Linked DNA regions of Struthio camelus. The protein of the gene in region 2 interacts with the protein of the main gene of each other region in a biochemical or structural test. Links are inferred from orthologs where the notes say so. Each region holds a gene or a part of one and is shown on either strand. Other genes may lie near its edges.

What was found.
Region 1: of the proteins of UBE3A (region 2) and FAF2, one has a biochemical effect on the other in vitro, tested with the Homo sapiens proteins (2 studies listed by BioGRID). The link is inferred for Struthio camelus from reciprocal best matches to the Homo sapiens genes UBE3A and FAF2.
Region 3: the proteins of UBE3A (region 2) and ESR1 form a complex in vitro, tested with the Homo sapiens proteins (2 studies listed by BioGRID, with this or other methods). The link is inferred for Struthio camelus from reciprocal best matches to the Homo sapiens genes UBE3A and ESR1.
Region 4: the proteins of UBE3A (region 2) and ubiquitin-conjugating enzyme E2 E1 form a complex in vitro, tested with the Homo sapiens proteins (2 studies listed by BioGRID). The link is inferred for Struthio camelus from reciprocal best matches to the Homo sapiens genes UBE3A and UBE2E1.

The regions. Positions count from the first base shown.
Region 1 is NC_090954.1:10,069,407-10,076,637, reverse strand, and holds the start of FAF2 (FAS-associated factor 2), read left to right. Parts: upstream 1-4,216; 5' UTR 4,217-4,888; coding exon 4,889-4,951; intron 4,952-7,231. Other genes in the region: CLTB (clathrin light chain B), read right to left, coding at 1,204-1,250, 3,519-3,810. UniProt on the Homo sapiens protein: Plays an important role in endoplasmic reticulum-associated degradation (ERAD) that mediates ubiquitin-dependent degradation of misfolded endoplasmic reticulum proteins.
Region 2 is NC_090942.1:150,498,964-150,506,963, reverse strand, and holds the start of UBE3A (ubiquitin-protein ligase E3A), read right to left. Parts: upstream 3,013-8,000; 5' UTR 2,030-3,012; intron 1-2,029. UniProt on the Homo sapiens protein: E3 ubiquitin-protein ligase which accepts ubiquitin from an E2 ubiquitin-conjugating enzyme in the form of a thioester and transfers it to its substrates.
Region 3 is NC_090944.1:81,057,810-81,065,416, forward strand, and holds the start of ESR1 (estrogen receptor), read right to left. Parts: upstream 3,018-7,607; 5' UTR 2,921-3,017; coding exon 2,865-2,920; intron 1-2,864.
Region 4 is NC_090943.1:44,086,321-44,093,982, forward strand, and holds the start of ubiquitin-conjugating enzyme E2 E1, read left to right. Parts: upstream 1-4,652; 5' UTR 4,653-4,673; coding exon 4,674-4,733; intron 4,734-4,895; exon of another isoform or gene 4,896-4,987; intron 4,988-5,878; coding exon 5,879-6,057; intron 6,058-7,662. UniProt on the Homo sapiens protein: Accepts ubiquitin from the E1 complex and catalyzes its covalent attachment to other proteins. Catalyzes the covalent attachment of ISG15 to other proteins. Mediates the selective degradation of short-lived and abnormal proteins.

The DNA.
Region 1 (7,231 bases), on a different chromosome or scaffold from region 2:
GCTGCGAACATGACGCCCACGTTCTTTGCGCGCCCCACGGCAGAGAATGGCCAGGTAGCTTTGTGACATCGTGCCCACAACCACATGGCCTCACTGTGAGGTCACAGCGCTGGGCTTTCACAGCTCTGACTCGGGGCAGAGGCAGGAGAGGTAGGGCAACCCCAAGAATTAGCATCATCACAGGTCTGGCAGTTTGGCCACCGCAGACTGAAAGAGCCCAGGCGAGCAGCAGGGCCCAAGGGAGGCACCACTCTGCCTGGAGACCCGCCTGCAGGCAAAACCTCCCTCGCTCCTCGGAGCAAGCTGCCCTCTATAGCTCCCGCCAAGCCCAGCATCCTGCTCTGCCCACATCAGCATCTCTCCTAACCCCTACTGCTGGTCAGGATGCCCAGCCCCACTCTAAGCTCAGGGATGGGATTACAGCTCTCCTCCAAGATCCCCAAATCTAATTAAGTCTGTCCCATCTCTGATGTGATTATCATCCCATAAACTAAGCACGGGCAATGCACATGCCACAGCACTTGGTAGCGAGTGGAACGAAAAGCTCGTCAGCTTCTGGCACTGCTTCCCCTGTCGCCACCGCAGCAGGGCTTGGGGCTCCCAGAAGGGGCTGAGACCCAGGCAGGAGGCCCCCTGACACACCCTTAGCCATGAGGCATGCGGGTTTAAGGAGAGATGCTGCCGGGGCTCTATAGCAAGACCACTGCCGTGCACCAGCAAAGGGGGTTCCCCACAGCAACCCTGTCCTGTCTCCAGACTCTGCCAAGAGATGTTCCCTACTGCCCTAGAGGCCTCCAGGAGCCAGGCTAGAGAGAGGGGGCCTTTGGAGAATGGAGGATTTCTCCAGGCTTTTCATCTGCTCTTAGGATCCAGGCACTCCTTCAGGGCACAGCCCACCTGCAAACAGATTTGGAGCAAGTTGGGGCACAGTTGGAAGAGGATCAGGCTGGTTCTGCCAGTCCCAAAACTTCTAACTCCCAGCCCTGGGCCATGGTAGGGGGGACAAGACTTTCACACAGAGGTGAGAACAGAGCAGTCAGAACTCCCTCACATGAGACCCAGATTTTCCCAGGAGCACCACAGCTGTTCCAGGCTGGACAGCAAAGTCCAACCAATCCTGCAGACAGGGCACCGGAGTGCTGGCCCCGTACCCACCTAATCTCCCTTGGCAACACCAGCCAGGGCAAGGGGCTGAGCTCTCACCTGAAAGACATCTCCATTGACAGTGGCTCCTCCATTCTGGAAACCAGCTAGAGAGGAAGAGAAAAACAGCTATGGCAGCTGCAGGTGACCCCACAGGGGCTGGTGTTCATGAACCAGCGGCAAGTCGGTTCAAGAAGGACGTGACTTTGCTGTTTCCAACCCAGCACACCAATCCACAACAGCCCTCCATACATGAGGCAGAGACGGAAGACCTCCAGGCTGGCCAGAACAATGGACACCAGCTGAGCCACATCAGAGCTCAAACAGAAGCCAGCAAGGTCTCTGCGTTCAGAGGACGTCACGTTCCCAGCCCAATCGGCTCTGCCTGCTCCCAACAGGGCCCCAAATCCCCCCCTTTCCAAAACAGAGCAGAGCATGGCAGCACAGCCCACCCTGCCTGCCCCAGGCCCCAGTACCCTCGCCCCACACTGCCTACTGATGCCAGCAAGGGGAAGGGGAAGTGCACTGTCTGCACTGGTGTCCAGAGCCAATAACCCAGCAAACCCTCCCTGCGCTGCTGCTGTATGGTACCTGGGGTCTCCTTCCACCCGTGAGAGGGCTCAGGGCTGCGTCCAGTGGTCTCCTGTCCCTGGTGGAATTCAGCCAGCACCTCTCCTTCCTAGAGGAATCTCCCTGAGCATTTATGTCTTTATGGTGTTTTCACTGGTGTTTTATCTTATCTGGAGATTAGGGTGACTGTTTAAGGCACGGGACTGGACAAAGATAGATACTTTGACTGCACCGAGACAACCTGAGCAAATCTGAACCTGCAAATGGCCAGGCAGAGGATGCCTGTGGACATGGACTGGTGACCCCACAGCTGTCAGCTGAGTCTCCAGCAATCTCCAGCCAGCAAAGGCAGAGCTGTTTTGAGCCTGTGACAGGAAGGCAAACCTGCCAGGAACGGAGCCCACAGAGACACTGCAGTGCACTCTGCGAGCAAGGAGGAGGGCAGGCACGCATACCGAGGTCCTCAAGAACCTGTCTGGGGAATGCACGCAATTCCCTGGGGTTGGGAACGAGGCACTGCTGATGCCCATGGCTGCAGTACATCCCCACCTCCTTCCCAGCACCAGAGAACTTCCTGAGAGCTGCACACCAGGGCCACAAGACCAGCCCCATGGGGGCTCTCTGTTGCTGTGCAGAGAAGAGGCTTCGCAGGAGGCAGACTCCAGGCCCTGAGCTCTCATCAACGAGGGCCAGGCCAGCCAGGGGCACAGACAGCCACACAGTGACAGCACAGCTCTGGAGCAGCTCAGACAAGCACTCTCCCTATAGCACTGGTCCTACAGCTCCGGCTACACCCAGCTTCAGCCTGTCTGACTGCATTTACTGCCACAGCTGCCAACGCCTCTCTGGGCTCCAGAACCGGCTCCATGGCCCTGCTTCTGGGGTGGTGAAACACCACCCCGCAGCCAGCACGGGAGGGCCCTGCAGGCCTGCCAGGGGAAGGAGCCAAGAGGACTGTGGCAGCAGTGGGGCCCAAATGGAGGCATGAGATCCGGATTAGCACCTTATACCTCCAGGGGCTGAGACACTGATGTCCCCGCTGGAAATGCCTTCCATTTTGCATGCCAAAGCACTCTCCGGTCTTTGGGCCAGTGAAGGGGCTGCCCAGCCCCATATGGATGGCTCACTGTCCCCTAATCCCACCTGGATCCCCTTCACCCTGCTCCAGCCAGAGGGACTGAGACGTGGGGGAAAGGGAGGGTGTCCAGCCTGGGGAACCTAGCCTGACCATACAAAGAAAGAATCATTCCACAGCAGGCAAGCCCAAGCTCAAGGGTCATGCCAAAACCTGAGGTTCAAGGAGAGGGAACCCCAAGCCCTGGGGAGCCAAGCACAGCCCCCCGGAGAATCATGACGGGGATGCAGATGTGGGGCACAGGGGGGTCCCCACTGCCTGCCCACTGGGAGTGCAGCACAGACCCAGCACACGGGGGGTTCCCATCACCCACTGAGGGTACCGTGCAGCCTGCAGGGGACCCCAAATCAGCAACCACCAGGGGTGCAGCCCGGGACTGACCCCACTCTGTGCCCATGGGAGTGCAGATCGGGGAGGGGGGTGCCCCCCCACCCCTTCTCCTTCAGGGAGCAGCCTGTGGGGATCCCCTCTGTGCCCTCAGTGGGGCAGCCCAGGGACGGATCCTCCTTTACATCCATGAGGGGTGCAGCCCGGGGGGAACCCTCCCCTCGGGGCCTTCGGGGGAGCAGCCCAGGGCCGGATCCTCCTGCCTTGAGGACCGCAGCCCGGAGGCGCGCCCCCGCCGGCAGTGCAGCCGGGAGGACCCCGCGGCCCCCGGCGCGGCGCTCACCCGGTTCCGGCGGGGCCGGGGCCGAGGCCGGGGCCCCTTCGCCGTCGGTCGGCCCGAAGCCCTCGTCGTTCTCGATGCCCGCGATCGCGCTCTCCTGCTGGGCCAGGAAGTCGGCGGCCGGGTCCTCCTCGGCGGCGGCGCCCTCGGACGAGGAGAAGAAGCCGAAGTCGTCGGCCATGGCGCCCCCCCGCGCTCCCGCTGCGGCTGCAGGCGCGGCGCGGCCCGACTGGGCCCGGGCGTAGCTGTCACTGCGGCGGCGGCGGCGGGGGGGGGGGGCGGCGCCGCCTGACATCAGCGGCGGGGCGGGCCAGGCGGGGCCGCGCCCGCGCACCGGGCCCGCGGGGCCCCCAGCCCGGCACCCCCCGGCGCAGGGAGAGCCGGGCTGCCCTGCTGCCCCACCGGCGGGTTTCCCTCCGGCCGCCGTGTGGGCACACGCAGGCGGGGGCGCCCCATGTGCCCGGCAAACGGCACACCACCCCCCCCCCCCACCGCCGCCGGGCGCCCTGCCCAAGCGGGGCCCTGGTGCCCCGCGTCCTGCTCCTTATCCGCCTGCCACCACCTTGTCGCGGTGCTGCCCCGGCCGCTGCCGGAGCCCCCGCGAGCCTGACGCGGTCCCGGCGCGGCCCCTACGGCCGGGCACTGGGGCGCGGGCTCTCCGGGTCGCCCCACTCCCCCCCCCCCCGCCGCCCGTGGCTGCATCGGCCCTAGCCACGTGCTCGCTTTTAGCCCTTTTCATTTTGAACGCGGGGCCGGGCTCCACCGCGGCCCTGGAGCTGGCGGGACGGCGCAGAGGGCGCCCTCCGCCTCCGCCATCTTGGCTGGGGACCCCCCCCTCGTCCGCCATCTTGGGTGGGGCCGTTGCCTGTGGGTGGGGGTCCTCAGAGAACTGGAGGTGCTTGGACAACACCCGCCGGCGGCTGCGGGACCACCTCGGTGACTGGCCGACAAGCCAGCGCCGCGTGGGCTCCGGCCTGCGAGTTCTGCCACGGTCCCCCCGCCTCCCCCGGCGACCCGCGGCCGCCAGCCCTGGGCACAGCCACGGAGCAGGCCTGAGGCGGCCGCCGCCCTCGGCCGTGTCCGGAAATGCCCGAGCGGCTTTCGGAACTCTTCGTGTGCCAATCGGGAGCGCCCGAGCGGGTCGGGCCTGCGAGCCCTTCGGACGCGGTTCGGGCATCTCCGGCGGTCTCCGAGAGCGTTTCGGCCATCTCCGGAACGCGGCCGAGTATTTCCGGCTGTGGCCGAGTAAGCGGCCGTTGGCTCGCCAGTCGCGCCTGCGCGGGCGCGCGTGCCAGGAGAGCCGGGGCGGAAGTGCTGGTGGGCGACGTCACTTCCGGAGAGTGACGGAGCGGCGGGTCAGAGGCGGCAGGAAGATGGCGGCGCCTGAGGAGCGGGAGCTGACGGCGGAGCAGACCGAGAAGCTGCTGCAGTTCCAGGTGCCGCGCCGGGGGGGCACCGGGCCGCGCCGGGAGGCAGCGGCGGGGCGGCTGGGCTAGCCTGCGGGGCTGGGGTCCTGCTGGCCTGCCGCGGGCCGGGGGGCACGGGGCGCCCGGAGAGCCGCTGCAGGCCCCGCCCGGAGCGGGCCCGTGTGGGAGAGGGGCGGGGGAGGAGAGTCCTGTAGGTCTGGCCCGGGTGGGGGCGAGGGGGCCGCTTCCTGGTAGGGCACGGCCCCCACTGGCGTGGGGGTCCCGCCGGTGCGGGGCTGGCACTGCTCGGGCTGCCCCGGGCCGCCGCCCGCCTCGCTGAGGGTCAGTCGGCGCTCTGCGTGCTCCTGGCATTTCATGAGGAATGGTGCCTGTCAACGTTAATTCGGAAGGCAGGAAGCGACTGGTGAATAAACCCCATTACCTCTGCGTAGGGGAAACTTCTCGGTCTGTTCCAGCCATTTTAATTATCTAGTGTGAAAAATTCCCCTTGTTGTTACTGGTGAAAGGAAAACCCTTCCTGTTATGTGAGGAGGACTGGCCAGCGGGTTTCTATACAATGCGGTTTCTCACAAAATTGTTCCTAACCCTCAAGGTTGGGTAATAGCTGTTGGGGGAAGGCCACTGGGGCTAGTAATGATCTAATCTTGCTATCTGCTGCATAGCATGGGCTGGGTGACGTAACCTTTGGTTTGCCAAGTCCATGGGGCTGTGCAGCAGTCAGATAATTTAAAAAAAAATGCAGATTTTTCTTATTAGAAAAGTGTGCTGCAGTCAGAGTTGAAATACTTTGGGCTGCTCGGTGAAAGGTAATTAAACTATTACTGATGAATGAAAATTGTGGTCAGGTGTCTTGGGTTTGTTTTTGAATTGTAGGGCATTGCAGAGACTTTCTTGGACTTTTTTTTCCTGCAACAAAAGTAATCTTTTCTTTCAAGAGTTTTGTTTAATTTTTGTTCCTTCATGTTCAGTTTATCTTAAGAACATGCTTTGCTTTTTTTGATGCAATATAACTGTAGAATTACAGAGCTTAGAGGTATTTCAAAAGCATCCAGTCCTGCCTCCTACTACTGAGCTAGGTCATTTCAGACAGATATTTGCCTAGCCTTTCTATTTGACACCTCTGAACAAGGGGATTCAACCATCTCCTGAAGTAATACACTGCAGCGTTTCTCCATGGTTGACTTCTTGCTGATACGACATCTGAATGTATACTGCAAATTAAGCTGATTGGGCAGTTTTAATTTACAGTCAAATGTTCATGAATAGCTTTAACAATTTCTTTCCCAGTGCTACTGTTTTCCTGGTAAGTGTGTGAGCTTCAAGACGCTGACTTGTGCTGCATATTATTGCTAACGTATATGTAAAAATCGACTTTTGGGTCTATTTTCCTCAATGTTAGATATCGCAGTACTTAGTCATCTGCTGAATCTGGATAGATAGGATCAGCTGCACTTATTAGTTTCACTGCTGCTATTTTCAAAGCCCTGTGGGCAGCAGTGAAACTGTATGGAATTGTGTCTGTTTCCTAATGCTACCTCTGTTACTGCTGTGAGTAGCAGGCTAGGGCGCTGGAGGCTCCTGAGAAAGGAGGGAGAAGGACTCAAAAGGAGGGCTGTATGTGTTAGTCCAGCTTTCTTGTGAGCTCTAGTTTGAAATGGAGGGAGAGGGCAGAGGAAGAAGTCCCTTAGAAAAAGGGAGAAGCTTTAAGGTTAAGACAGCTGTTGTCCAGAGCTTGATATGAAAGAGAGAATCTAGAAGGCTTCAATACCAGGATCCTCTCATTCATGTACAGCCTAGGGTACACAGGATTAGCATTTCACCAGGGTTGTGCTAAGGACCTACTTCACTGGTGATGTCCATCTCCTGTGTTATCTTTATACCTGGCTGGAAGGGCTCGGGCATGCGGTCCTGCTTGTTGTGCTGGAACGAGAGTAAATCAGTCCATCTGGAACAGCTTTTGTTTCCTTTAGCTCTCTGAGAAACTCTGGATTCTTTTAAATAGCATGCGCTTGGAGAAGACTTATGTCTTGCTAAAGTCATCTGTACATTGCTATTGTTGCAGAGCACACTTACAGTTGGAAAACTGCAAACCTTCCAGGGATTCTCACCCTCTTGGCAGGGGGCGCTTCTTGTATGCTTTCTAAGGTTGCTTTACGCTTTCATTGTGACACACCATCATAAAAAGTAATTTTTGCAATATTCTGCAGCCACAAAGCATTGTGTTTCCACAGAAGTCATACCACTACAATGTAAATAAAGTGGGAGAATAGATTAGGAGGGAGGACAGTG
Region 2 (8,000 bases):
GCGATTATTACCACTAAAGAAAACAAACAAATCAAACCATTTATTCTGCCATCTAGAAAGGGAACTTGATGCTTTTATTTCCAAATACTGGGGAGACATTCAGGATACTCCAGTGAGGAAGAATATCAAACAACTCTAGTAAACAGAGTTGTTAATGCAGTGTCTTTCATATAGGAATTAAACAGTAAACACTAAGAGTGGAATAGAATGTGTTTCCAAAAGAGAGATGGAATATCTGTAATAATGTAATTAAGTGATTTTGATTAAAGGTATTTTTCAGTCCTTTGAATGTAAATAGTGTTACAGTTTTTCTTCCAAGATTTGTCTATACTGACTTGACAGACCATTGCTGTTATGAGGACAGCAGTATCATAAGCACTGTTAGGAACAGCCAAACTGCATCTGTTTTAAAAGGCAAACTACATGAGGAAAACTATCAAACATCCACAGCAATTTGATAATGCATGCTTCCTATGTTCAAGTCAACACAATAATTGCACTCTTTAAACTTTAACAGTATTTTCAGAAGAAAAAACGTGCCTTTATTTGTTTCCAAGATGAAAGGGCATAGAGTATTTAATGCAACAGTACTGAGCTACTCTAACACCACCCAAAACATGTGATCAAGATCTTCTTAATCAGCACAATAAGTATTCCGTGAGAATTGTAAAGCCCATCTTCCAGCAGTTTTCATTCTTACCAAGAGGTATCCCTTACCACCTCCACCCTTCTTCCACCCAGTTAAAGGTGTCTTAACACTATAGTTAGAAACTCCTTGCCAAGGGAGAAGCAGTTAACTGGATGCTATTTGCATGAAACTTTTAGAAACTCCATCTTATCTTTCACACTTCTCCCTTTCAAACTGGTAAACCAGTTAAACTATTAGATAAGCTGGCAATACAATCACATAGGTCCTACTTTCTTAGGAAATCAAAGCTACAATCAGGCATAATTTCTCAATGAAGAACTAACTTTTTGGTACACATGCAAAAGGCTGTGTACCAGGCTAGTTTGACAAGCTGATTCTCACAGAACCCCAGGTTTACACCGAATCCTACTGAGGTACAACAGTTTCCTTACAGATACAGTGGGAGCATCTCAGAAGTAACACATGAGACAGGCTTCATCCCAAAACCAGAACTCAGGACAGCTCTTACACAGGAAGAAACATAACAATCATTCCCATTCATTTGAACACTCTAGGAAGACAGCAAACATGACTACAAGTTTACAGATTACATGTTCTTGCCACTTGAAGGACAGTCGTGGAACATATTTTGTTTCCCAAGCAGTATTAACTTCCAAATAGCCATGTCACATCATCTTTACAAAGGGACTGAGAACCCATGCACTTCCTTTAGAAGAAATAGAGCAGATACACTAAAAACCGAAGTCCAACGAGTCCTACCGTCAGGACCGACAGATCCCACCTATAAGCAAAGTGGCTTGCTCACACCTTAGGAGATCCAACTCTTCACACAGGATAAAAGGTAGTATGAGCAAGAGAGCACGTCTATTTTGTTGAGCAAGCCCTGCCCGTTCGTTATGAACCCCAGCAGTACCGCACGAACCTCTACCTCCCCAACTGGCACAGCTGGCCATGTCAGAGACACCAAAGCTCTCCATCCCCACAGCAGCCCGGCAGAGCAGGCAGCGCCGCCGCTCCGTTCCGCCACGCCGGAAAACGGAGGCAATGGCAGGCTGGGTTCACCCAAGGTCTCCCAGGAAGACCAGGGCGCAGCAAGCCCAGCTCCCCTGGGCGGACGGTCTGAAGCCCCGAGCCGCCCGCCCGCCCGCCCGGCCTTCCCGCTGCCGGGGACGGACGGGACAGCCCGTACCCATGTGCCTCGCAGGCAGGGAAGGACGGCACCACGGCAGCCGCCCGCGCCTCCCCGCCGCCCCCCTCCCCCTCGCGGCCGGGGGCAGCCTCCCTCGCCGGCGGGCCGGGGCGAGGCGAGCCGAGGCGGGCGCTGTCCCGTCCCCCCCCCCCACCTTCCCCCGGGCCGGACGCTGCGCAGCGCCTACCGACCTGGGCGCCGCGGCCTGCTGCTCCCGGTCACTCCCGCCGACGCTGCCGCCCGGGTTCATGCGGGGGCCGCGCCGCGCTCGGGGCCGGGCCACAGGCGAAGAGGAGGAGGAGGCGCCGCCGCCGCTGCTGCTGCTGCCGGTGGAGCCGTTGGGGCCCCCGGAGCGGAGGAGACCGGACCGCGGCCTCGGCGGGGAGGGGAAAGGAGAAGCGAGCGGCCTGGTGAGGCTGGTGGCGCGCAGGGGGGGCAGGAGGGCGGGCCGGGCCCGCGGGGTGCGCCTTCTCTCGCTGACTCGCTCGCTCTCAGCCCGAGCCCCGCGCCACCATCTTGGGAGCAACGCGGATATCGGCGCGGCGCAAGCTCGGAGGACTCGCGGCGGGTTGGGGGGGGTGGGGGGGAGGACAAGGGAGGAGGACCCACTGTGTCCCGGCGTGCAACGCGAGCGGAGGGGCGGGCAGACGAGGCGGCTGCGGCACGCTACCCACCGCGCGAAACCATAGAGTCTCCGAGCCGGCTTCCTCCTGCCTTTTTCAGTCGGGGCACCCGGCGGAAGGGAGGCAGGGCAGCGCGTGCGTGCCTGGTGCGAGAGGCGAGGGCCGCCATGTTGGAAGAGGGCAGCGAAGGGGCGGGGCGCACGCTCCGGCCCTATGGAGCGGAGTGGTGGCGCGCGCCCAGCTCGCGGCGGCAGCGGGGGGGTGGGGTGGAGGTCGGAGTCGCGCATGCGCAGCGGCTGTTCTTCTTCTTCTTCTTCTTCTTCTTCTTCTTCTTCTTCTTCTTCTTCTTCTTCTTCTCCTCCTCCTCCTCCTCCTCCTCCTCCTCCTCCTCCTCCTCCTCCTCCTCCTCCCCCCCCCTCCGGGGGGGCGATCCCGAGTGGGGTGGGGTGGGGTGGGGGAGGGGTGGAGCTTCCTGGTGCGAGGGAGACGTGCGGCCGTTGGCGGAGGGGCGCGCGGGCTGGGCGCAACGGTCTGCGCGGCCCCGCGGCCGCTCTGGGCAGCCGGGCGCAGCCGTTATACCCGCGCACGCCCCCTCCCCTCCTTCGGAACAGCCCTTACGCACACATACACGCCTGCACGTAGACATACACCCCTGTAGACGTGCGGACGTTCACAGCTAGACGTACACGGGCACCTACGAGCACATGTAAGCGCACCCATACATGTACATAACGTCGACATGCACGTTTTTGCCTACTCGTTTACACACGTGCACTCCCACTTATGCATACCTATACACATCCACACATATACACACAACACATACACGCACGCATGTACCTTTATATATGTGCACGCATGCACATTCATACATACCTATATGCACACACACATATACACCTATAGCAACATACATACACACGTGCACACAGGCTGAGGGGTGGTGATATAACAAGGCACATTGCTGCTATAGCCAAAAGTGCAGCCACCGCCTCATAATTTCTCAGTGAGTTCTCCACCGAGGACTTCCACAGCTGAATCCCGTCACAGTGATCTGATCTATCTTCACGCCAGGAGCTCCGGGGCAATGGGTTTGCTGTCTTTTATCAAGTTTAATCTGGGCAGAGTGCCAGCGCCAGCAAGCAGAAGCGTGCAGGAAGAGGAACGGCCTGTGACCTTTGGAAGCAAGTCAGCAGAAGAGCCATATGTTGCTGCTGTCACTAGGCAAAGCGCATCAGGACAGGCAGAGCCCAGACTGGGCAAGGCAGCCGTGCAACTCTCCCTGCACTGCAACCAGCATTAGGGAAAGGAAGGGGAGAGTGAGGACTGGATTATTCATTTCTTGAAGTGAAGAAGTGTAGCGAGGGTCTTGCTGCCTTTGCCCGTGGTGATGGGTGGAAGGGCACAGCGCCGGTGTATATCCAGGTTACCAAAGCCTAATGTTATTCAAACCGTTGATGATTTCACTCTTGAATCACTGAGGTTTTAGTTGCAACGTAGCTTATACGTGTAAATACATAACTATGAAAAAAAATGGGAGGCACAGGGCGCAAAACTGCTTCATGCATATAACGGGGAAGAAGGAGTAAGTAGAAAGGAAAAGAAAAGGAAAACAGATCTGAATCTTCTTTACGTAGTCCCTTAATAAGGGAAATTGAATGGAGGTCGTTTTACCCTAGAAAACAGTATAGATTTTTTTAAAAGTCTAATCTAGAGTCAGGGGGGACGCTCTTAAAATGTCAGAATAAGATGTTAAAATCATAAAAAATAAGTCCTCAAAGGCCTGATACTGAAACCAATTATGTGCTCTGGGCCAGGAAATGTGTGTTTAAGATCTGTAAGAATCTTAACAATTCGTCTCTGAATATGTGAGAATTCTTAAGAAGACATTGATACATTACAATCTTTAGCACAATTTTGAAAAACCTATCATGTATGTTACAGGGCAATAGCTGCTAAGGTCAATGGACTTAAAACTATGTAATTACAAATCTGTGCATGCAGTACTAGTACTCTCAGAGAATATGGTGGGCAGACATATTTGAAATATTAAGACTAAATGAAATACCATACTTCAGTGTGGTGTCGAAGCGAGGTACACTGCCGGGCTATGCTCCGATGGACATTAACCCCGGACATGCATCTAAAAATAGTTATTTAAATGAGCACATTTAAATGAGGTTGTATCTGGAGGCTCTCTCCCACACGGTAGCCAACCTGCCAACTTTGATATATTAAAATTTCAGATTTAAGGCAAAGTTTATTCTGCCTTGAGCCTTTCTGTCACCTCAGAAATAATAATATGCAGAAACTGTATGTCTGGAAGATGCAGGTCTCTTCCTACTTTTCCCTTGCTCTGTTGCAGACCCGACATGTCCAGTCCTTATCTCCTGTTCGGCTATAAGGATGCTGTGGGGAATCATGCCACAGGCCTTGCTAAAGCCCTGGTGAGCAACATCTTCTGGTCTCCCCTTGTGCACAGAGCAAGTCATCTCATCACAGAAGGCAATATGGTTGGTCAGGGCTGACTTGCTTTCACTAAATTCATGCTGGCTGTTCCTTGTCACCTTCTTGTTCTTATGGAGTCTGGCAATAGCCTCCCAGGCTTTGAGGTGAAGTTAATCAGCCTGAAGTTCCCTAGATCATTTCCTTTCTCTGGTCATCGGGGAGCTCCCATAAACACCACAACCTTTCAGAGGTGATAGAAAGTGGCCTTGCAATGGTGTTGGCCAGCTCTCTTTGCACACTTGGGAGAGCTAGCCCACCTGATCTGGTGAACTTGTATATCTCCAGTTTATCTAAGTAGTCTCTAATTTCATCCTCCTCTTCAGTGAGTAGCACCTTTCTCCCCCAAACTACTACCAGATGTAGAGGGACCTGGGAGCCCCTGGAGGACACCTCGCCGATAAAGATGGCACTGACACAGCCTTTTCCATGTCCTGTGTCACTATATGCTCTCTCCCACTGAGCAACAACCCAATTTCCTTGGTCCTCCTTTTGCCGCTAATGTACTACAGGTGTCCTTATTTTTATCCTTCACATTCCTTACCAGCTTCAATTCCAGCCTAGCTTTGACCTTCGTAATTTTATCCCTGCATTTTTAGGTGATACTCCTAAAGTCCTTGCTAGAGTCTACTCCAGTTACTGGTTGTATGGAAGCTTTTTGCGTAACTTTGATAAATACCTTTGATCATCTTTACAGTCACATGCATCCTTATAGCACAAAGAACAAGAACTGCTCAAAATATCCAAGACAAGGACACCATGGATATACATAATCATGGTCTTTTCCCGTGCTCTTTCTTTTCTAGTAGTTCCTGACAGTTGAGTTAGCCTTTTTTTTTTTTTGGCCCCTGCACAGCATCAAATGGATTTTTTTTTTTCCCTGGAACTATTGATTCCAGGATCTTGTCCCTGACTGGTAATGGTCAGCTCATGGCCCATCACTGTTATGAGGTAATATTGCTTGTAAATGTCACAGGTTTTCCTCTGAAAAAACAGGAGAAACATCTCTGAATCCACATATGTAAATATGAGGAACCTGCAGATGAAAGCAGATGGAGAAAAAATGCAGGACTGGATCCAGCTGATGTGGATGATGAAGATGGAGGAATGTGTGTATTGTACTGACTGGATCCAGAGACAGGGGAAGGAGAGTTCTCTGAGTAAGATAACCCATGGGTTTGAAAAGACTCAACCTTGCTTCTGTTTTGAGGAGCTGGGGATAACACTCTTGGCTGTGGATATGGGAAGAATGATACATTAAGGAATATACCCCGAGCAAATTGCTGTGTAGCAGTAGTGCATGGCTGACCAAGCCGTGTGATGAATTCGCTTTAATTCTTCCAGGATTATTCCAAGCTGTTGTTGAGGAGACACTGAATCACTTTTAGGTTTTGTATTGTATGTTTGCAGCTTTTTTGGAACTGGAGTAGCTTGGCTTGCCGTAGATTAAGCATGGCCATTGGTGTGCCTAAGTTGTTTCCATTACAGAGGGGATAATCGTACTTTCCTGCTTCATGTAAGTACTTTACATATTCTAAAGTGCTCAGATATTATGGGATATAAATGCTTTTGCTGCCTTGAGTGCTTTCAGCTACTTTGTGCTGGTATAACCAGCTGCTAGAAGGCAACTGGATCTGCTCAGTTGAGCAATCTCTGAATTTGGAGAAATCTGATTGGAATTCCCTGTGGAAAAGCCACCACTCCCTGCTTCCTCGCTAATCCCTACCGCAGCTCTAGGGCATGGGTGTGAATTGCAATTGAGGAGAACGAGTGGTTAGCCTGTACTCTGCAGTGATAATCTCCATAAAACAGGCTCCAGTGAGATGCTTCAGTTATGTGATTGAAGTAATCCTGGGTTAAAAAAAATCAACAATTATAATTGATAACTCGATCACTAAGTAGAAGCCCTGAAGAAAAGCTCGTCTTTGCATCTGAACATTTGGAAACGAGTGTCCTTTTCCAGCTGCTGAAGGGGAACAGACACAAATTGCTTCTTATACACAAGTTACATGTAATAGACAATGGTTTCAGAGGGAGGAAAAGCACATTGAAAATAGAATTCCCAGCCTAATTCACAATTTACTTGTAATGCTGGAGAAATGCCATAGTGAACCAAGTCTCTGGCATATGAATTTCAGTAGCTGTTGATGTCTCATTTCAGAGCTTTGCAGAAGAAAATAGTTTTCTCTAGAGATGTCTTAGTAAATGTATGCAGAACACTGCACGTCTTGTCCTCATTTCATGTGAAAAACCCCAATAGAAAGGACTTGATAATACTTTTTTCTATTGATTTCAAAGAATTATCAGAGTGAAAATTAGATCTTGAAGTTCTGTAAATGTAACCCCTTAGGTGACAGGTATCTTTTCATGAACAATCTTACCTTAGCTTATCCTTTTTAAACAGAAAGAGTACACTAAAGTGGCATGAGCCTTTGGGAGCCAAATGCTTCAGGTTGCTGATAGCTGAACCCTTTATGGCTCCCTTTGCAGATAAAACAATGAGGAAGAGGAAAAGATCATCAGTAATATAATGAAACCTTGAGGGTCTCAGTTAGAGCTCAAACTCGGTGATGGGGAGATAAAAAATCCCTCTAGTGACTAGGTGGTGATTATGGGAATGTAGGTTGTTACTGAGGTAGGGAACGGTGGTCGGTCTTCTTTTTTAGAAAATTGGAGGTGAGGATGACACTTTTGGCTCAGATCTACTCGTTTTTGATGCAGACAGGGAGACTTGAGCTCTTAAGGGAGTCCCTGCGGTTTTCATGGCAGCCACCTATAGCGGACTGCAAGTCAGTTGGCTTAACACAGGATAGGCCTTGGCTTAAGCAGAAGATGAAGCTAGGACAATGTGGTGGAGGCTGCTTGGCCAGGACTTGACAGGCAAGCAAGATGCTGTGAGGGTGACCACTGAATGCAGTAGAAGCAGGTTGCACTTGAAGTGAACATCACTTTCAGCCTTTTCTCCCATTCTTGCCGTGATGCATTATGAGGAGGAGTTAACTAGTTTAAAGTCTTTGGTAATGTGCCCCCTAAA
Region 3 (7,607 bases), on a different chromosome or scaffold from region 2:
CTCAGACACATAGCCGGCAAAATCTCTAGGCATATTAACTTTTATGAAATTAGGTATTTCCCACCTCTCATAATAAAATATAATAAGCAAACAAATTTTCCTCTAATTTTCAAAAGAGATAAGGGGAAAGAAAATGGAAATTTTCCCAGGGATCAAATACAGGAAATTTCAGCCCAAAAGGTAAAGGGTTCCTAAATGAACAGCAGCTGATGGAAAGATGTTATAGCAGATCTAAAGATCTAATAGCAAATCTTAATTAGAGCAGGCATCACAATTCCCAGCTAAACAATAGTGATACTACCCCACACAAGCCAAGGAATTAATAAGGAAAAACTACATTTTCTTGTTAACACAAGTCTTTCTCAGCTGAAACTTAAATCAAGATCAAATTTGATTACCTTGCCTTTTGTATTACTATCACAATTTATTTAATTTCATGTTAATTTTGTAGCTACTTCATGTTAAATAGTTTAGAGAAGTCGAGGGAAAACAGAACAGTAGTAACGAATTCTTTTCACTAATTGGAATGGGATCGCCATGAACAAGAAAAAAGAAAAGGGAAGATCAAGAGAGATGGAAAAGGTATAGACTATATGCTTGGTAGGAGAAATTAAGAGAAAAACAAAAGAGACTTTCCCTCGCTCTTCTACACTCCCTCTCTCGACTTTTCATTGAAATATGACCTCATGAAAACCCTGAACATGTTAGGGCGTGAGAGGAAGCTATCAGCAGATCACAGAAAGCATTTTGTTTGACAGAAAGCAAGTGGCTAGCATCAAGCATTCTAAACATGAAACTTTTACTATTTAAATAACATCAAAGAAATTTCAAAGTAAAAGCTGATTTTGTGTCAAACATCAAAACATTTTATCATGCAAATGACAAAGTAAAGTTCCTAATGTTTTGTAATGCTTTTTTCATGTCCTGGTTTTAAATGGAAAAATTTGGTGAAACACAGGTGAATTTGCTAAACGCTTTTTGAGAAGCCCAATTTTTTTCTGCCAGAAATTTAATCCTGCTCTAAATGTGCTAGCTAGCTAGTTCTAGATACAGTGTGATTGCAAATCAGGCTCAGAATTAAAGCATTTCCTACTACAGCATGCATACTATTCCAGTGTAATGTAACATAGCTTAGAATAATGTATTGTAGGAAGATGATACTTGCAGACGGTGATCCCCTGGTACAGTAGAAAATAAATAGAAACTATTCCAGCAATAAAGCATCAAATTAGTACTAAGGCACAAAACTCAGAGTCCGTATTTAGAAAAGGAAAATTGTCACTAGTCATTAGTATTGGCAGTCAGGTCTAAAGAAATTTCTGTTACTGCTATCATTATTTAACTTAGGCTCTCCAGGATCAATATTTTGAGGACAGGATGTATTTTCAATTAAAAACAGTCTGAGCCTCCAAAAATATTTGATTAAAATAAATACACCAATAAGTAGCATAACCTTCAACATACAGCCAAAAAAAAAAGCTTTCAATTTAATTATTTAGATTATCACAGAATTATGGCCATATATAAAACATTCCTTTAGCTATTTACTAGCTGTGCAGGAGTCACCACCTCCTTTTCTTTCTTTCCTAGCGTTGCAGGCAGTGCTTATCAGCTCAGCCACCAGGACACACAGTAGGACAGGCCTTTGGTCTCATCTGTGTGGGTCCTGGCAATGGTCCTGCTGAGGCCAGATCCTGTGTCTCCTTCACCAGCATGGAGGCAGGTACTGCCTCTCCCACTTTGCATCCAAACCCTTTTCAGATGTATTATTTTTATATTACAGAAAGTGAGAGTTAAGGGGGAAGGGAAGGGCCCCAGAAAAAGAATGAGAGAATCCATGGGAAAAAAGTGATACATAGGTTTGCCATGGAGCAACTGAATAAGCAGTGGAAAAGAAGAGCTTTCCTACCTCTAGCTTACCTCTCCTTCCAAAACTTTATTCACATTTGTTGAATTTAAATTCGGCTGATATCGGTTAATAATAAATAAGTTTAGCTGATATTTGGCTGGTTTTGCCACTCCCTAATTACATCCTCTTCAAAAGGACAGGATGAATTCTAGCATACACTCACGCACATATATGCAAGACATAGACTAATTCTACCACTTGCACATACACACCCACAAGTGCCTATGTGAGTATTTTTTGTATATACAAAAGCCCCATGAACATTTTGGTTCACTTTGCTGTTGTCTCTGTTCCAAGTCTTGTTTTATGCTCCTTCTCCAGGGGAAAAAACAAAACAAAACAAAACAACAACCCACTCCTCCAGCCGCCCATAGTGATTCCTCTGACTTCTGTGAGGAGAATTGTAAGAGAGAACCATCACCCAGAAATACAGCTGAGGCAAGAACCCTTCTCCTCCATGGGATGAGGAGTCACATGGGCATGAGCCAGGAACCAGTAAACATCAGGATTTATGAATCTTCAGAAGTAATGTGTTGCTCACTTCATCTATACCACATCTGTTCAGTAGTACAGGCTACCAAGAAAATAAATAATAAAGCTCAAAATCTCTACCTTGATCTTCCAGAGGCTCATTACTCTGAGTCCTGGATATCAAACAACATCTAAATCTTTTGGACACAGGTGAAAAAAAGTTAAATTGCGCACGAGACCAAGTTATTTTGTAGCCAATCCAAGACCGCAGAATGAGCTGCTAAGTAGGAATTCGCTCTTCACTGCTTAGGCCAAAACCCTATTTATAATGATCAGATCCGGACAGTATACTGGCAGTCAGATGATGCCATGAAAATATTTCTACCATATCCTTCCTCCTGACAGACCGAAGCTATCATAGCTACTGAAGCTATGAAGATTAGACAAAATTGACTGCCTATAGCTGAGCTTCCCCTACACGCACCTGACTGCCTGCTTCCCAAGAAGCAGGCTTCCGGCTGAACACAAGTGATGTGTCATGCTGTGCTGATCCTTGCATCACCTCGAGCCACCAGTGGAAGCAGCGCTGGAGAGCAAATCATGCCCTCCACACGTAGAGGAAAAACGACCACCAGGTAGAAAGTGTGTCAGGACATGCTGGGTCAGACAGCCATCTGCCTCACCCTACAGGCTGCCTCCAACACTGTCTGAAAGCAGATGTCTAGGGAAGAGTAAGAACAGGCAAGTGTATGAGTCACTTCTCCCAGTACTCACCCAACCTCCAACTATTTCCTGTTACGGAGACTTCCTGAGCCAGATGCAACTTCTGCAAACCATGTATGGGGTCATGTGTATGCCACTGAGAAGGTTATTTGAGGAAAAAGGAGCAAGGACCTCCCTCTCAGGTCAGTACACTGTATTTTCAGTAAACACACTCTTGAAAAAAATTACATAAAGCCAAAACCTGTGGCAATAAAGCAATACAAAGGATAAATAAAACAAGGATCTTCTGTCCTGTTCTCAGCCATACTTCTTAGAATGATTTAGCACTATCCATCAGCAAACTTATCCTTAACCACATTCTTTATATTTTAATATCCCTTTAAACCATTTTTTTAGACATTAGTATATTCTGTTTCTTTCTAAATTCTAGGGAGCCCTCATCCAACTTATGAACTTCTCCCCAGTAAAAATCTGAGCAGAAAAAAACAGATTTTTTTATGAGTCTTCAAAAAAATCAACAGGAACGTATTGACAAATTTATAAGGAGAGGCAGTTTGATTTCTAAATCCATGTGAAGGAAGCAGTCACTGCAATGAAACAATGAATGCTTCTTTAACATTCAAGCCAAGAACATTCCTTGAATCTTCTGCCCTAAGTAGGCATCACTTCCTGGAAGAGAAGCAAACTTTGTTGTTGATTTGAACTCGTGTCTGAAATAACGATGAACCGAAGGAAAAAAAAAAAAAGTGCATTAAGCTTATAACAAGTAGTTGTAACCTACTAATAAGTTAATTCACGCTACATGAACAGAACAGCCCCTTTGTTCTGGCTGGTTTCACATCTCTGTCCCAGCAACAATCTGACTAGGTTACTGAGTGATAAACTGATGCAATGCCGCACAATTCTGGCAAATTTACTCAATCAGCAGCACCTGTGACATACTTATCTAGATACAACAATCTATCAGAGGTAGTTAATCCTTTGATAGGGTGCCACTTTGACCATAACTCTGTCCTTTCATTCAAATCTTTGGGGAAAAATGTTAGTTATCTGCTTTTAGCACCTAGCCCTGTACCAGAATTGCCTCAAGTCTTCTCAGAAACACAGGCGATGGAGCTCTGCAGACTCAAGGGTAAGCATGTCGGCTGGGGTGCAGGGGAAGGGAGAGGAAACAAAAGAGGCAAGACAAAGAGAGAGGGGTTGAGGTAGATCCTTAAAAAGCTAAACCTGCCTCTCCTTGACTGCCAACATAGCAAGGTGGGCCTGGTGAGCACTGGCTGCAAACTCTTTCTCCAGCAACAACCTCTGGCCACCCCTGGGGGGAACAGTGGCAGTGGCAGCAGCAGCAGTAGCAGCAGCAACTCTCCTGCCTTTCCAGAGCTCTAGCACCAGCAAAATAAGCAGTGCCATCCACGCTTGCCCACACAAGTCTGCACTGAAATCTAATGGCTAAATTCTACCTAAAAAGTAGAAAAGGCCTAAAAGTTAAATCATAATAAAACTAAGAAAAAGGAGAAAAGGGAACTGTTAAGGGTGCCCTAACTGGGAATGTAGTAAATCTATAAAGTGTGCCCTTCCTGGCTGAAGTCCAGCGCAGAGACGAGGGACTGCAGTAACTGGGACACATACACAGAGCTCCTGCTTTGTTTTAGACAAACTGTTACTCTACAGATAGCAAGCTGCCAAACTTTATGGTCAAACTTTATGAGCTGTCAAACTTGTTACATAAAGAATTCGGAAATACTGTATTTGAAATCTTAGTCAGTATAGCTGTAATGGGCTCTTTCTCTAATACTATAATAATTTATATACCGCATGGGCCAAAGAGCTAAATCAAGAGCAAGATGAATGTATCTCAGCAAGCAGAGGTTCTTATGCTCTGTTTCCCTTCCAGCATATTTCTTACCTCAGACTGCTACTTCAAACAAAGTCCTCATTCTTCCTGTTCCCAATCATTTTTTTTCCCCAAAACTTCCGTTCTACATGATTGCCAGTCCCAAATATCCACAAATTAGGTCTTATTCGAAAAAAGTTATGATCTGGTTTGGTTTGATTTGGGTTTTTAACCTTATCATCACTTTTTTGTTACCTTTTGGATAAAATTTTCCAAATTTTCTCTGCATCTGTGAAGAGTAGAAGCTCACAAAAAAGAGAGAGAGAGAGAGAGAGGAGAGTGATGTAATCACATAACTCTGACTTTTTTTTACTAAAAAGTGCCCATATTGCATAATCTGCAATACAAGCACGAGCGCATTCTCCATGCCTGTCACTTGCCAGATGTCCACCCTCGAGGACCTCCTCCCCACAGCATCTCCTTCTCCAGCCCGTTCCCGCTTCCCAAACGTCACGTCTGAAGCCCATTTGCTGTCCCCAACCTCTTGGGGCCCCTTGTTGGCCCTGGATGGCATTGCCAGATCCTCCCTGCCCTCTGCCACCCCTGGCCCCCAGCATGGCCAAGGATGAGGCCTTTCCTGGGGGCACTAACAAAGTGCGAGATTGTTGCCACCACACGAACCTGACCGGGATGAGTGTTGGCTGGCTGCAGCACAAGGTTGTCCGGTCCGCTCTGTCCTCCCCCTGGGGCCCCGCGGCTCTGTGCCCCACGGCTCCGTGCCGCCTTCCCGCCGCTGCAGGCGCGGGCTGGGCCTGGTCCTGCCACCTGCCACACACCCGGCTCAGGCCACACTCCACCATCTGTCTTCTGGTTTTGCTCTGCTTGCCATCTTCTGTCTGTGGAGCCTCTATGCCCCAGGGCACCTCTGAGCAGCTGGCCCAGGGCAATTGTACCCAGGATGCCCACCAGAAGCTGGCTCTGAATTAATATGGACTGGATGGGAGGCAGGGAGGAGGCCCGCAAGCCTCAAATCCTACAGTAGAGCCCTGGGGGCTCTACTGGCCTTACCGGCCCTGCATGGCCTCCCAGGCCTGCCCTCACCCCAGCCCCAGGCCCAGGAGCCCATTTAGCTCAGCCAGGGGCCGTCAGTCCATGCCACAGCAGCTGTAGGTTTGTCTGTCTCAAGCCCAGCCTCTGGCCCTGCCTCCTGGATGGGCACCTCGCAGCCGACCTGTAGCCTTGTCTCCAGCCCCGTCCCAGCCCTGTCTCCCTTTGCTCCTGACTGGACCTTGGATCTGGCCAACCCCCTCGCTGAGCCTGGGGCTGTCTCCAGACCCTGCTGGCAGCATCCAGCTCTGCTTGCCCTGTTTTGAGTGCTGCAGGGCGCACTCCTGGGCGAGGGCACGGCTGCGCTGGGGTCACCATCAGGTCCCGGCTCCCTGCCCTTCGGGAGCAGCCAGCCCTCACTACACCTAGACATCTGTATCCTGGTCAGGTGAAAATCTAGAGGAGAGCTGCTGTATCCTGGCTGCTTCCTGCGTGCACCCATTGCTACCTCTCAAGCTTTTCATAACTTCAGCTTCTGGAGATTTCCAGTCTTGATACTTCACTGCCTGTGCTTCAGGGTGCTCCTTGCAAAGGCCTGGTGGTAAATCCACTCCTAATTTTTTGTTTGTCATATGTAGGAGTGATCTTTTCGTCCCTAAGACTAATGTTCTGGGGGGAAACCTTTGTGTGATATTTAAGACAATGAAGAAAAGAGATAGATGCCAGATACAGACATGCAGACTGACAAACAGATAGACTGATCGGGAAACTAGTGAAAGTACAAGACCATTCTCGCTGCTGAACCATTCAGGCAACCGCTGTCACATTTTGATTAATATCACAGAGGAGAGGGAATTTCAAGGCAGGCTCCAAAGCCTCCAAAGAGTACCCCAAAGAGTAATTTTTTGGATATCATTGAGAAGAAGGAATTCCTCCTGTGTGGGAGGGACTCCTCAAGTTGGGGAAGAAAACACAAAACATCATCTGGTTTGAAAATCTAATAAGTAAGCGGTACAGTCTAGTATCACAGCCTGGTTAAAATTAGGGATTAAGATTCAAAGTTAAACTGCACATGCCAGTCAGCATGGATGTCCAAACCAACACTGACGTCCAGGCCAGAGCAACATGAAGGATGAGAGCTTTGTCCACAGTGATCAAAAAAGGAAGTAAGAGAGCACGGAGAAGGAAGAGGAAACAGAAGAAGAATAAAAGATGATGAAACGAGTTCTGTTTTAGTTCTGTTTAATCTGAGCTGATGGTCAAACACCCATGAGAAATATGCCAAGATTGGATAAAACCTGAAAGGAGAAAAAGCTGAAGTATAAAAAATCAGTGCTCCTCCCCTTCCTTCCACTCTTACCAGGATTACTGGAATATAGTTAGAAAGAGGAAATAATTAATAGTCTGTAGAGCAAAGTGCAGAAAATTACTTTAAAAAAAAAGGAGAAAAAACATGGAACTGAAGACTTCAGAGGAAAGCCTGTGGGTTACTGCCAGAATTAAGGACATGTTTTGTTTGTTTATCCAAATGTGCAATAAAAGACATCCTAGATCTGTTATTAATTGGAGATGATAAAATTGTTAGTCGGGAAGAAGGGAACAACTCAGAGTAAAAAAAGCACT
Region 4 (7,662 bases), on a different chromosome or scaffold from region 2:
CGCGAGGTATCAGTTTGTTTCAGGCATTCCTGCTTGCGAGCGTGACATTAGCAGCGAGCTGACTTTAGGAGACCCAAACAGGTGATTGTTTCTTTTCTGCTCTTCACAAAAGGCCTGATGCAAAACTCACTGGAGCTGGTGGAGAGGCTCACAGAGATGTAAGGGGCTTTGGCTCAGGCCCAAACAGACCAGCCAGCAATAATGCTGAGAATGTATCTGGAGTTGAGATAGTACAAAGGGACTAATCCTAGTCACCTTCCTTTAACAGCAGGCTCAGTGTGATTTGAATTGGCTAGCTTCTGCCGTGAATTAAGCTCAAAGCCCCAAAGGCAACTCGATTCTAGTCATCTAGCCTTGCAGCCTCCTCCAAATTTAATCCAGAGGGAAAATTGACTAATCCTATTCAGTTGCTACACTGAGCTAGTGCCATGGATTAAAAAAACTTGGGGCACAGGGAGACTGAGTAATCTGGGTCAGTTTTCCTTTGCAAGTCCTTTGCAGAACTTGACAAAGAAAAGGGGGGGGGGGGGACTGTTGAGAAGGAAAGGTCACTTGCTAAAGTGAACGCACACTTTACCAAAAAAAAAAAAAAAAAAGGCAGCAGGCAATCAGTGAGGTTTTGTCAAAATTCCCAAGATGGAAAGAGGTTGGATTAGGGGAGCTAGTCTTCCTTTTTTTCTGGAGTAAGGACCATGTCCTCGACTCTTTTCCGGTTCTTCAGTGTCCACGCAGGACTGAGAGGACAATCATGGGCTGGAGCAAGGCAAGCCGCAAAAATGCTTCTGGAGAGTGGATGGCACATTAGTTGGCTTCTTGGCTGCAGTCAAGAGAACAGCACGTTGGCTGATCTCTGAGGTGAGTCATGAAATGGAAGTTGCCCCTGTAACAGCTGCTCAAGTAATGACATTAGTAGGTGCTTTCAGAGAATGCATTTTTAGGTAAGCTTCAAAGTAAATAACCACTGCTGCTGGTCATCATTTTACTGTGAACAGGGTTACCCACGACTGTGTGCTGCAACAAAAGGTTAGTTTATTGATAACCCCCTATGAAGGTTATTAACATAAAAAAAGGAAAAAATGTGTGTGGGATTTTGTAATAATCTTTGCATTTTCTCTGCCCTCTATTACAGAAGTGGAGGGCTTTCATTATTAATCTGTTGTCTCATTTGACTTTGGTGCATGTTTCCTGTGATGACAGGAATGGACTGGAGGTTTGTTTTTAGTGAAAGTGAAGAATTTCTGTTTTTAAAAATTTGTTCCATAAGCAGTGAACTTTGTGAAGCCTGATCACCTGCTTTGTGTCCTCTTGTCTCCTGCGTTTGCTTGATACGTACCACTACATTCCCAGTTCCATCCTCCACTGCCTTCACAGGCTAGTTTGGAGAATGCTGACAGGCTGGCTGATTGCTGTTGGATATAAAGTAGCTGAATTCTGCGCCCCCCCCCCCTTCAGTGAGGAGCACTAAGTGATACAGCTCTCCCTCCTTTATCTAAATGCCAGTTTTCATGAAATTTATTTGCCTTTGAGGCCTTTGTTTAATGGCAGATATGCCAAAGCTCCAAAGTTATTGGGAGGAAGGATGACCACGAGTTCAAAAGCTTTGTTCCCATAGTTGAAAGTAGAAAGGTGGGCTCTGCTAGCAAGCTGCTTCTGGAGGCCAATTCACCACGGTCTACGTACTGCAGGTAACAAAGACTGAAGAGGAGGGTTAGCAAAAAACAACAACAACAGGAAATGTGAAATTGTAGTGGAATTCCTTATTTTGTCAGAAAGGACTCTTACAATGTCATTGGTGTATCCTCCTAATATACTGTGCTATTTAACTACACAGGAGAGTGGGCAGCAAGTTTGGGGAGAAGCTTTGGGAAACCCACGTGAAATGAGGTGCTGCTGAGTGGTGCAGAAAGAGAGAGGGGAAAGAGAAAGTGGAGAGGGAAACAGCACATGCACTGTACCAAGGAAATGGAGGGAAAGGTGACAAAAGGAAACACTGTCCTCACGTGGGTGTCCCTTCCAGGGGCGCCTCTGACCCAAGGATCACTGGATTGAAATGGTGAAAGGTCAGTGTCACGACCACAATGATTAGTTACAAACCTGTGAAGCCACGGCCTCGTGGAGGAGGGGCTCAACAGCCCCAGGCAGCTGTGCTTTCAGCTGGCCCAACACCCCTTTTCTTGAGGAAAATCCCCCAAAGTGCCCCCAAAAGAAGCCACGGGCGTTCTGCATCTGACCCAACCCAACATTTAGGTTTTCATCCCCGTTCAAGTCTGTGACCTCGCAAAAGGAGCAGGTGCCCCAGAAGAGGTCCACCGCCAGGGTCAGCTTCACATCGCCCGCCCCACCAGGGCGTCCTAGGGCAGCCCCCGCAGCAGAGCTGCCCCGGCCATTTCAACTTTGTGTTAACGCCGCAGGCTCAACGAGGCGGGATGCCCGTGCCGGCGAGCGGAGGGCTGGAGGGCTGGGTCTCGGGGGAGCCTGAGGGCAGCACCCCGAGGAGGCACCTTGCCATGGGGGGCTCCGACAAGCCGGGCGGCAGGGGGACCCACAGCGCGGGGGGCTCCTCAGGGCGCCCAACGGTCGCCCCCCCCGCCGCGCGCTGCCCCGTTAACGGCCGCCGCCCGCTGGGGCCATCTTGACGCGAGGGGGCAGGGTGCAGCACCTCCCTGCCGGCGGGGCCCGGAGCCGGCGACCGCGGCGCTGTCCCCGGGCTGGGCGGGCAGCACCGTGTCACCCAGCCGGGGTCATGCGGTGAAAGCCCGAGACGGGAAGGCTGGGTTTTCAAAAGTAGTCAGCGCCCGGCTCCCTTCCTCCTTCCTCTCCCCCCCCCCGCCCGGAGGGGCTCTAACCAGAGGTGTCCCTCGCCCCACGCCGCGCGGGGGGGGGTCGCGGTGTCCCTCCGTGCCCTGCGGGCTACGGTTATATAATGTAACCCCTTAGACTCCTGAGGCGTGACGTCGTCATGTCGCTGGCCGTGCTTTTGTCCGAATATCGCGCATTTCAGCCTGCAGATCACTTTGGAGGTCCTGGAAACCGAAAGAACGATGACAAATACGAAGCCCTATTCATTACGATGCTGGACGGTGGAGATGGTCATTATATTTTCGGCCACTAAAGATATCAAGTAATTCGATATGTGATCTCTTGATATGCTATGGAAACTGATGGCACTGAGCCAAATTTATCCCGGAAAAGTCGATAGGAATGCTCATTCCTATTGTCCCTTCAGGAATAGGTCCAGCACTTCAATTAAGAGCTATGGCAACCTACAAGGACTACAGGGAAAGGTGACCGAGTGTACTGTTCTTCTGAACATGTGGTAGGTATGGTGGGTCACTCTTGCCAAATTACTTTTTTTTCGCTTCGTGGGCAGAGAGTGAGCGAGCGACAGCAAAGATTTGGGGGAGAAGAGTAAAAAGCCTCGAAAATCCAGTACAACAGCACTCCAGTCGACTGAATGCAGCGCCCGTCATGCACACGGGCTCCCAATTTGGGGACTTAAAAAAAAAAATGAAAAAAAGAAAAAATCCCTATTACTTCTACCTTGGGAAAACCGAAGCAGCGTTTTTTCTTTTCTGTGGCTGCCAAGCCCCGAGCCCAGGATTTTGTTTTCTCTCCCAGCATGCGTTGATGACATCACGAAGTGCCCCTTCTTTGTGTGTCAGTGATGTCACCAAGTGCAGTGTGGGGGACAATGGAATCCTGAACTCCGGGCGAAGGCAAGTGGGAAGCGGCTGCTCCTGCTGTTGATCCAGGGCTGATCCAGGAGAGGGAAGGGAAGAAACAGCTGCTGCTTTAGGGCTGGAACAGGTGAGAGGTGGAAAAGCTGCTGAGGGGATCCTTTTTGGCTTGGTTGTGGTGGGGGGTTTGGACTGGGCTTCTTTCTTTCTTTCTTTCTTTCTTTCTCTTTTTTATTGCTTTCCAACTGAGACAGGTGAGAAGTTGCTGCTGCTGCTGGAGGGACAAAGCAGATGAGGAAAGGGAGAAGCTTTGGGGCTGAAACAGTTGCAAGAACAAGGGGAAAACAACCAGCCTCCCCCCCCCACACACCCTGATAATCGTCTCTCAGCCTTAAAAAAGCAGCACCAGGAGCTTGTCCCCTCTCCCTGCCACCTGCCTCGAGCTTGTCCCCTTGGGGCTTTCGCCCTGAAGCAGAAAGCACAGCCGGGGGCGGGGGGGGGAGGGTGTTTATTCCTCACCCCCCCTTCACACCTTCGCAGATTACTTTCCAGGGGGTCTCCATTACAAACTCACGTCCCTGCCCCCCTCCATTGCCCCTTTCCTCCATCGCGGCGGGGGGGTTGCGGCTGCTGGGATCCCCCCGCCAGCCCCGGAGCCGGGGCTCGGCCGCCGCCGCCGCCGCTCGGTTCCCCCTCGGCCCGGCCCGGCCCGACCCGGCTCCGTGCGAGGCCGCGGCGGATCGCGCCCCCCCCCCGCCGCCCACCGAGCCCCCGCTCGGTGTTGGGGGGGAAGGCAGCCAGGGAAGCCATTGCCTGTTTAATAGTTGCTGTTGCAGCACTTCCGCTTCTCTCCCAGCGAGAGAGACACGAGTGGCCAGGCCCAGCCGCACCGAGGAGGAGCAGCCAGACACAAAGGGAGAGGTAGGGGCACGGGGGACCCCCCGCTGCCCTCCCCGCCGGCCCGGCCGGCCCCCGGGGGCAGGGGCTGGCCCGGCGATGGGCAGGGAGGCAGGCAGGCAGGCGGCGGGCCAGAGGGATCCTGCCCGGGGCTGTCAGGTACCGCTGTCCCCCCGGCCCCGGCGCTGCCCGGCCCTGCGGGGCCCGCGGCCGGGGGGGCAGCGCGGCGGCAGCAGCCCCCGGCCGCCGGCTCCCTCCCCGCCGCCGCCCGGGTCGGCCCGTGTGCCGCCCCCCCCCCCCCCCCGCGCCCGGCCGCGGCTCGGCCGCCGGCCCCGCAGCTGCCCCCTCTGCCCGCACACGCTCCCGAGGCGCCGGCGCACCTCCCTGCCCCAGCACTTTGTGCCCCCTCTCGGGTAGGGACCTGCTTTCGGCCGCCCGCCGCGCTCGCCCTCCGGCCCTGTCCCCCGGGGGCACCGAGGTGCCCTCCGGACCCGGCTGTCCTCGCCCCGCTGCTCTCCTCGCTGCCCCCTGCCTCCCCCGGCCCTCCCCAGGCCCTCTGCTCTCACCCCTTGTAGGCCCTGGCCCTTCTGCTCTCCTCCCCCACCAGCACAGACCCTTTGCTCCCTTTCCCCTTTGCTGGCGTGCCCCCCCGGTGCCCTGGGCCTCAGTGGGTCCCCTCTGCGTACTCCAGCCCCTATTTAGCTGTTCCTTTTTTTTTTTCTCCCACCCTTCCCCCCTCTCCCCACATGCTCCTGACACCAGATCCAGCAGGCACAGGTTTCTTCCCCTGCAGGTTACAGATCCTCCTTTGGGGTGTCCCCCTGTTGCTGGTGATGCCCCACTTTTATTTTAGTGCTGGCAGCAGTGTCCTTCTTGTCCCTTCCCACCTTCCCCGCGTGCTTGCAGGGGACGCAAGAGATCGAAGCTGCTCTGTTTTTATTTCCTGCACCCCTAGGCTGGATAGTGGTGGGTGGTGATGGCTCTTCTTGTGTGTGCAGTTTCAGGGAAGATTAAAAGGAACTGCTTTGGGCTTCCCTGATCCTTGCAGTCCAGTCCCTTCTCCTCTTACTCCTCGTTTGCTTTCTGAGAGTCCCTTTAAAAGTCCCTTCCTCCTCAGTGTTGCTAGTGCAGGGGAGGCTACTGCTCCTCCTGCTTGGACTGTAGGACCTGAAGAGGCGAGGGAGACAAGAGGACCCTTTAAAAGGAACATGACCCAGACACAGAGCAAGATTGTCAGCTGCCTTTCTCTGTGTGTGTTTGTGTTCACTGTTTGTTCCCCACGCCCCATGGTGTCTCCTCTCCAGGTTGGGGTGTGTGGTGGGGGGGTCGCTATGTCGGATGACGATTCAAGGGCCAGCACCAGCTCCTCCTCATCTTCATCCTCCAACCAACAGACAGAGAAAGAGGCAAGCACACCTAAGAAGAAGGAAAGCAAAGTCAGCATGAGTAAAAACTCTAAGCTGCTATCTACCAGTGCCAAGAGGTGAGGCTGCAGCTAGATTTTTTTTTTTTTACTACTTCACTCTATCTTTTCTCCTTCCTCATTTTCTTTTGCTCCTTTTTCTTGCTGCTCCCTTGTTGCTCCCATTCCTCATCTCTAGCACTTATGTTCAACCTTTCCACAGAAAGCTGCCATCATCTCACTTTTTTCAGCATCTCTGTGCAGTAAGGAGTGTCTGCCTGACATTGCTGTTCTGTGATCTCTCTCCTTGCTTCTTCTTCCATTCCATCCCAAATATTTTTCTTTCTTTTTCTCCAGGCTGTTTTTCTATCCTCCAATTATTTTCACTGTCTTCTCCCTTTTCCTTAATAACATTGGATATAGGGATGTTTTAGGAATGACGTTTGGGAGCTTAATTCCTTTTCTGCTACTGGAAGCTATGTGGTCTTGAGTAGCATATTTAATTTCTATATCAGTTTCCCTCTCTGTAGAAAGGGGTTGATATATAATGGCTTTTTAGTTCCAGAACTACTCTGAGGATTAATTAATGTTTGTGAAGAATTTTGAGTTCTCTTAATGAAAGAAAGTGTAGATGAGTGCAAGTGGTGTAGTATAGTGCCAAATCTTTTCCACCAAATACATTACTATTTTCCTATCTGCTCATCACTTGTATTAATTTTTTTCTGTATAGCTGTACATTGACTAGAATAAATAATCCACAACACGTCCCCCTGCGGACATTCTGTTCCAAAATGTTTTTTTCTTACAAGGCAAGATGGCTTTCTTGAGGGGAAAATATTACTTTTATTCCAGAATAATGTCTATATTGGGGAGAGATGCCTGCATAGAATGCCTGCATAGTAGTAATTCCAGAACAGCTACATCAGTCAGTTTTCTTCACCTGGACAGACTGTTGGAGTCATTCAGTTAAAACGTTATTGCCCTTTCTTATTTACTCTGTGGTGCAATTTAGCACCATCCTGTTCCAGAAAGCTAAGCTGGCAAATGAAGTTCTCAAGCAAACTTTCAGTATTTCAATAAGAGTTAACAGTCTGTCTCACTGAAAAGCTTTGTCAAGCAGCACAGAAAGGTTATATCTGTAGATGTCAAAAATGACTGGGGTTTTATGCAAATGCTCTGCCATCACAACTAAGAGTTCTCTGTGGCTTTGTAGAATTTAGGCAGTTTGGTTATTCCACATCTCCATTCAGCATGTTTCCTTGGGAAACTTGTATAGATAGTGGCAAGTGGTGTTTACATGTGGTTCCCTTAGCTATTTTGAAAATAAGATAGTTTTAAAAGCCTGCTAATTGTGAAGTGTCTAATACAAAAAGACTAGGGTTCTTATTGCGTGTGACAGCTAGAAGAGAGGCAGAAGATGCTGGTTGAGTTTAAAGGGGAAGAGAGGCAGACTGAGTGCTGGGTGGGGAAATTTGGAGGGGAAGCTTGAGTGACAGTAATGGGACTCCAGGGAAGGGGATGATAGCTGGTTGGGCGTTTTGTGGCAAAAGCAGTGTGATGCTATGTGAGCCCAGAATAGGCTGGTGAGGGAGGGCAGGGTGTTGTCTGAATGTGGTGAAGAGAGGAGCGGCTGAAGTCTTGAGGGAAGGAACATGGTTGTTGTATGGTTTTTTGGAGGTGAGGAAA